2 linked regions of the Arabidopsis thaliana genome follow. The protein of the gene in region 1 interacts with the protein of each later gene in a pairwise test. Each region holds a gene or a part of one and is shown in the gene's direction. Other genes may lie near its edges. The genes, in order: ACA8 and FLS2.

What was found.
Region 2: the proteins of ACA8 (region 1) and FLS2 interact in a protein complementation assay, tested with the Arabidopsis thaliana proteins (one study listed by BioGRID).

Annotation. Positions count from the first base shown.
Region 1 is NC_003076.8:23,115,619-23,119,550, reverse strand, and holds the start of ACA8 (autoinhibited Ca2+ -ATPase), read left to right. Parts: upstream 1-1,864; 5' UTR 1,865-2,086; intron 2,087-2,147; exon of another isoform or gene 2,148-2,320; intron 2,321-2,636; 5' UTR 2,637-2,693; coding exon 2,694-2,837; intron 2,838-2,939; coding exon 2,940-3,056; intron 3,057-3,141; coding exon 3,142-3,178; intron 3,179-3,292; coding exon 3,293-3,408; intron 3,409-3,499; coding exon 3,500-3,631; intron 3,632-3,729; coding exon 3,730-3,819; intron 3,820-3,932. UniProt on the Arabidopsis thaliana protein: This magnesium-dependent enzyme catalyzes the hydrolysis of ATP coupled with the translocation of calcium from the cytosol out of the cell.
Region 2 is NC_003076.8:18,789,867-18,793,798, forward strand, and holds the start of FLS2 (Leucine-rich receptor-like protein kinase family protein), read left to right. Parts: upstream 1-1,708; 5' UTR 1,709-1,935; coding exon 1,936-3,932.

The DNA of each region.
Region 1 (3,932 bases):
ACACGTCATCTCAATAAGACCAAACAGCTTCACACGTCAGAAAGTATTAAATAGTAAATACAAAATATTGACGTTAAAAATCGAAAAGAAACCTTTTTTTTTTCTCTGTAAAGATAATATATTAAGATAAATATCTTACAAAATACAAACTGATAACCATAAACTTAGCCCCAAGAACCCCTTATTCCGGTTACAAAATCCGGCATCAGTTAAACAGGAAAAACAAACTTAAAGCCATGTTTGTGGAATCTCTAAACTTCTTACAATCTTAACTTGTAATTGCTTTCCAAAAACTTGAAAAATATAAAACATTAAGAAACAATCAATTTTAGAATTGATTTTCAAGTCTTCTTGACCTCACTTGATAATAAAAAGACTTCGGCAATTAAGACTTATGCTTCCCAAAATTGCATGACGGAGCCTCAATTGAGGTGAATTGAAACAGTCTAAAAGAGCAAGGACCGGTTTAATTTTAAAAGAAACCTAGCTGTCTTAATTTAATTTATTTTTGTAGCATTTTCTCGCCTGTCTAATCCACTTTTTTATTCGACATATTTGTTATATATACCGTACATCTGGACTATACGTATATCTATCACACACCCATATTATTATAGTTTGTAAATTTAATAATAATATCTGACGATTATTCTAATAATTGAGATATTCCGTCACAAATCTTAATTTATTTTGTTACACTTTACAGGTGTTCATACTTAGTGGTGTCGAAAAGCTTTACAGGGACTCATCTACGCGTAATTTAAAAAAGGAGACCCCATTATGATCTTTTCTATATAATTACAACAACCTCTTTAAGTAAAGTAAATTTTATTTTTAGTTGAATTATATTCTTTGTGAATCGTTTATTCGCTTTGCATACGTGGAAATGAACATGATATTGAGTAGGAATCGCTTCTTATTAACGTCTCCCAAATACAAACAATTTTTTCATCATTCAACACGACGTTTTTTGAACGTTCCGTTTCACTTTCCATGTTTCCGCGTTTTTTTGAAACGCAATTTACCTTTTATCGATTCGGCAATTTTTAGTGGATAGAGTTATAAAACAATTAATCAGAATGGTGACTATAAACGAATTATTCGTAATGTTTGTTGTATACTATTGAAGTAGTCGGTGCATAAAGACAAAACGTGCGTTGGTGTTAGTTAATTACTTCTACCAAGGCTCTATTAACAGTATACGATAATGAAAAGTTGAAAACATACTAACTAACATGTATTCACAAGTAAACAATGCCATACTCTAGTAGTCCAAAGTTCAAAATACTCTTTACAGTGTGTAAAAATTCAATATGTGGGCTCGAACTCTGAAATAGTCGAAGATAATTTTGTGGGTTAAGACACCAGAATATGCAATTTTTTTACTTATGTTTTTTTTGTCTATTTGTTAGTAAATGCAAATTTCCAAAATAATTGTAAAAGAAGAGACCATACAAGTAACATGCGAAATAACGTAATAATACATAATACATAATACTTAATGTGACTCCACCACTGTACACGTAAGCCAAACTTTTATTCAATGTTATGATATATTTCAATTTTCATTTTTTTAATATAATTTTTACTTAATTATTAGATGATATGACACATATATTTATAAAATTTCAGTTCCTTAAATGTTATTAAATAATTTAAATAGTACCATGATTTAAATTGGTAAAAAATATGAAGGAAAGCTTTTGCTAACCTTCTTTACTTCTGTTTTTTTTTCTTTTTCTTTTGGTTAGATAGATTCCATTTAACTTAAAATAATAATCCACAGTTTTTTTTTTTTTTTTTTAACACAATAATCCACAGATTTTTTTAATGAGAATAAAACTAAAAAGGAAATTTGATGCCACCAGCATTTAATTAGCGCGTGCCACGTAGTTTAGTTTCCAAACAATTAAAAATTTACCCATAACCGGCCCAAGAACTTTTATTTACTTACCTATTAACCCTAGATCTATATATTTGCTCACTACTGTTTTATCCCAAACTTTAGAGAGATAAAGCATTCTATTAGTTTCCCGGCGAGGACTAGTCACATTTTCCGGCGAACTTACCGGAATTTTCTCTCCAGGTAGAACTTGTTTCTCGTCTCGATTTTCTCTTCAACCGACTACGAAACGAGTTTCGGATTTCGAGAAAAGCTTACGAATAAAAATTTTAATTACTGTTTTGTTTAAATTAAAATTTCGCAGTGTTGGTCGCTTTGTCTCCTGTTGTTCTTATTCTTCGTCTTCTTTAGTCTTACCTAATTTGAATTTTTGTTGACTACTACTGGAGTAAACCGTTTCACAGCGTTTTTCTCGTGGTAGGAGTGACTTCGCGTTCATCGATTTTTTTTTTTTTTTTTCCGATTTTACATGATATTGTTGTGATTTAAGGCTAATGTCAAGGATTTTTGAAGAAATCTGAGAAAATATCTGTGGCTGTTTTGTCGCACTCTGGATTTTTCCCAGAGAGAAGAAGATACTTTGTTTCGAAGAAGATATTTATCTTTTTTTTTTTTCTTACTTTTTTTTTATCCCGGAGAAATTGCTTTTTTCTTGCTTGATATTTCACGTGGTTGTCGAAAGCAGAAGCAACCTTTAAACTGCAAACTTACTTATCTTTTGATTTTTTCTCAGTGGTTTTGAGATTTAGGGATTTGAGTGGTTTTCTTCTTGTCTCTTGCGACTGCAACGATGACGAGTCTCTTGAAGTCATCGCCTGGACGACGCCGTGGAGGCGATGTGGAGTCTGGGAAGAGTGAACACGCAGACTCTGATAGCGACACTTTCTACATCCCATCGAAGAATGCTTCTATTGAGCGGCTTCAACAGTGGAGAGTAAGACCTAGATCCTTCTTAAGTCTGATGTTGTTTCATATTGTGAGATAAGAATGCTTGTTTATCTGTGTTTGAGCTAACAGTGAATTGTGTTTATTACAGAAAGCTGCACTGGTTCTCAATGCGTCCCGGAGATTCCGGTACACCTTGGACTTGAAGAAGGAGCAAGAAACGAGGGAAATGAGACAGAAGATCAGAAGTCATGCTCATGCTCTTTTGGTAACTTTATTTGGAAGCTGGTTAATCATGTCTTTATCATGAGATTGTGTAAATTACTGATTAGCGTCTTCTATTTCTTTATTAGGCGGCGAATCGTTTTATGGATATGGGACGTGAGTCAGGTAATTTTGGCTAACTGTGTACTTTGGTGTTGTGCATTATCTGGTTCTGAATGTGGAGAAGAAAGTCTTTTTGTATAAACTTGTTGATGTGGTCTTTTTTTTTTCTCACTTCAGGAGTTGAAAAAACAACTGGGCCTGCAACTCCGGCTGGTGATTTTGGAATTACTCCTGAACAGCTTGTGATAATGTCAAAGGATCACAACAGTGGTGCCCTGGAGCAATATGGAGGGGTAAGTTTTCAGTCATGAAACATGCTTATGTCTGTTTTCTTATAGTCGTTCTCTAATTATCTTATTGGTATGCGTGTATTTCTTGCATCAGACTCAAGGATTGGCCAATTTGCTCAAGACAAATCCAGAGAAAGGTATCAGTGGCGATGATGATGACTTGCTAAAGCGCAAGACCATTTATGGATCAAACACATATCCTCGCAAGAAAGGGAAAGGGTTTCTGGTATGAAATGCATATTTATTATTAGCTCTATGCTACAAGTTAGGTTTTCCCTGCTCACTTTCTTATCAAGCGTATTGGTTTTTTGTTAATCATTACAGAGGTTTCTTTGGGATGCTTGCCATGATCTCACCTTGATCATTTTAATGGTTGCTGCTGTAGCGTCTTTAGCACTTGGGATAAAAACAGAGGTTTGTGATGAAATCAATTAACTAAATTTGGCTCTTCCCTCTTTCCCCAGAGTAATGTCACCTCCAAATTAACCTTGGTCTTACACAATCTTTACTAACTTGGATAACAATCA
Region 2 (3,932 bases), 4.3 Mb from region 1:
AAAAAATTTCTTTTTGCTATTAACATCTTAAATGTTAAATCTATCATTGAGCAATGTAACAGTTCTGTGTGAAGAAACAAGGAATCACTTACTTCTACATTGTCTCTTTACAAAGGAAATTTGGCACATGATAATGCTTCGGTTTGGGCAATCTCCTTATATCTTTGCAGACTTGTCTATTACCATAGGTAATCATATAAAAGTTATTATATATGAACAATGTTCCTATGGTAATAGAAATTCACATTTTATTAAAAAAACTGATACGAATAATTCAAAGAAATAAAATAACTTTTATATGATTGTCCATAAGATATAGTCAAAACGCAAAAGACTTTGCTCTAAGAAATATTAAAAAGAAAAACAACAAGACGAGGATTATTTCTTTTCAATAATTAAAACATTAGTATAAATACAATCACATGCTTAATGTAATAATGTGACAGTTTGGCCGAGTGGTCTAAGGCGCCAGATTTAGGCTCTGGTCCGAAAGGGCGTGGGTTCAAATCCCACAGCTGTCAATTTGTTTTTTTCTTTGACTCCTTTGTTCATCTTTATTTTAAAATCAATATAAACCCTTTTCGGACATTCTAAATATTTTGACCCAACCTAATGATATTCATTATTTGTCTAACGGGTCAACTTTCAAGTCTTCAAGTAAACATGATATGGAATTATATGGGTCAACTCCAAGTAAGAACAGTGCATGCATCTTGAAGACAAAATTGATTTTTTTTTTTGTTTTTAATTAATGGAAATTTTGAAATACTAATGGGTCAAGATGAGGTTGTCCAAATCAACTGATATCATATATGACCAGATTCCTCAATAGTCATTAGTCAATACAAAATCCATAATCTTTTTTAAAAATATAATCTTTTTATTTTAAATCGCCTATTTTTTTCCATTCATTTGTCCAATGTGAAAAGCCATAAATCATATATTAAGAAGTTGTGAATTGTGATCATAGGAGTAATATTTCTATCTGAACAAAAATTGAATTTTGTTTTGCTTTTTGTTGAAAGATAAATAAAATGTTTGGCAGATTGTTTGTACAGAACACAACTTGTTGATAAAACAAATTCCATCAAGACAGCTAATGAGCTTTTGATAGTCAGAGCTTTGAAGACGTGTTAATGAATTAAACTGATTAGACCTAAAACCAAATATTTAGAAAGAAAAAAATATGATAATTGTTATGTTATTTAATCAATAGTCAAATACTATGTTGAGTACCAATCATTTCAGTTTCAACGATTGCTACTCTTTTGACCAATAACAAAAAGGTTTTTATTTTTCATTTCTCAAACTCCATTTTTGTTTGTTTTTAGCATAAAAACAGCTAGAATGTGAGTTTCATATGTATTATATACTATAAGAAATCATATAAATTAACGACTAGAACATATTGTTTTCATTCTAGTGGTATATCTGAGTTTGACTAGAACGTTTGGAGGCAGATTAAAGTGATTTCGCCTTGTCAAAACTACTTTGTATATGTTATCAATCAATCGCTCAAAACTAAATCGGAAAAAAACTACATAAATAAGATATGGAAAATGATACTAACACAAACTAGTAAGTAAGTAGTCACTACATATTCTGGTCCCATGAATATGGCTTACATAGTACATACATTGTGAGATTAAATGAATATGATATATAATACAAGCATATAAGCATGTGCATGACTATGAAGTGGGAATACATTTAGTGCCTTTATATGCAACTTGACAGAATTACCAATTATGTGAATAGTGAAACTTATATTGCGTCTTGGCCTTTTCACATCCGTGACATGATCCCTCAAATCTATATCTTCTTGCGGCATATGCTTATATATAAACATATGACTTCGTCTATAGATTTATATCCAGATAATTAATTCTCTCATAATATCTTCTCCACAATTTCAACTCTTCTAAAGTCTAAACCATGAAGTTACTCTCAAAGACCTTTTTGATATTAACTCTCACCTTCTTCTTCTTTGGCATTGCACTAGCGAAACAGAGCTTTGAACCAGAGATCGAAGCTTTGAAATCCTTCAAGAATGGTATTTCCAACGACCCTTTAGGAGTATTATCAGATTGGACCATCATCGGTTCGTTACGACACTGTAATTGGACCGGAATCACCTGCGATAGTACCGGACATGTAGTCTCGGTTTCCTTGCTGGAGAAGCAACTTGAAGGTGTTCTGTCTCCAGCCATAGCGAATCTCACCTATCTCCAGGTTCTTGATCTCACTTCAAATAGTTTTACCGGCAAAATACCGGCTGAAATAGGAAAGTTAACCGAGCTTAACCAGCTTATTCTGTACCTAAACTATTTCTCTGGTTCGATTCCTTCTGGAATCTGGGAGCTTAAGAATATTTTCTATCTTGATCTTAGAAATAATTTGTTGTCCGGTGATGTTCCTGAGGAAATCTGCAAAACCAGTTCTTTGGTATTGATTGGGTTTGATTACAACAACTTAACCGGGAAAATACCAGAATGCTTAGGAGATTTGGTTCATCTCCAAATGTTTGTAGCAGCTGGTAACCATTTAACTGGTTCGATTCCGGTATCAATTGGTACTCTGGCTAATTTAACGGATTTAGACCTGAGTGGTAACCAGTTAACCGGAAAAATACCGAGAGATTTTGGAAATCTCTTGAACTTACAGTCTCTCGTTTTAACTGAAAACTTGTTGGAAGGAGATATACCAGCTGAGATCGGAAACTGCTCGAGCTTGGTCCAACTTGAGCTTTACGATAACCAGTTAACCGGGAAAATACCAGCTGAATTAGGGAATTTGGTTCAGCTGCAAGCACTCCGGATATACAAGAACAAACTTACTTCTTCAATTCCATCTTCATTGTTCCGGTTAACTCAGTTAACCCATTTGGGGTTATCAGAAAACCATTTGGTTGGACCGATATCAGAAGAAATCGGTTTTCTTGAGTCACTTGAAGTCCTCACACTTCATTCCAACAACTTCACAGGAGAGTTTCCACAGTCCATCACAAACTTGAGGAACTTGACAGTCCTAACGGTGGGGTTCAATAATATTTCCGGTGAGCTCCCGGCGGATCTAGGGCTTCTTACAAACCTTCGGAACCTTTCAGCGCACGACAATCTTCTTACCGGACCAATACCTTCCAGCATAAGTAACTGCACCGGTCTTAAACTCCTGGACCTGTCTCACAACCAAATGACTGGCGAGATCCCGCGGGGTTTCGGAAGGATGAATCTTACGTTCATTTCTATTGGGAGGAATCATTTCACCGGTGAAATTCCAGATGATATCTTCAACTGTTCAAACTTGGAAACTCTTAGTGTGGCAGATAACAACTTAACAGGAACTCTCAAGCCATTAATTGGGAAGCTTCAAAAACTCAGGATTTTGCAAGTTTCATATAACTCTCTCACTGGACCGATTCCTCGAGAAATCGGGAATCTGAAAGATTTGAATATCTTGTACCTTCACTCTAATGGTTTCACAGGGAGAATCCCGAGAGAGATGTCGAATCTCACTCTCCTCCAGGGGCTAAGGATGTATTCAAATGATCTTGAAGGTCCAATTCCTGAAGAAATGTTTGATATGAAGCTACTCTCAGTTCTTGATCTTTCCAACAACAAATTCTCAGGTCAAATTCCTGCCTTGTTCTCCAAGCTTGAATCGCTTACCTACTTGAGTCTTCAAGGAAACAAATTCAACGGGTCTATCCCTGCAAGCCTTAAGTCGCTTTCGCTTCTCAACACATTCGATATCTCCGACAATCTTCTCACTGGAACCATCCCTGGAGAGCTGTTAGCTTCTTTGAAAAACATGCAGCTTTACCTCAACTTCTCAAACAACTTGTTGACTGGAACCATCCCAAAGGAGCTTGGAAAGCTTGAAATGGTTCAAGAAATCGACCTTTCAAACAATCTCTTTTCTGGGTCTATTCC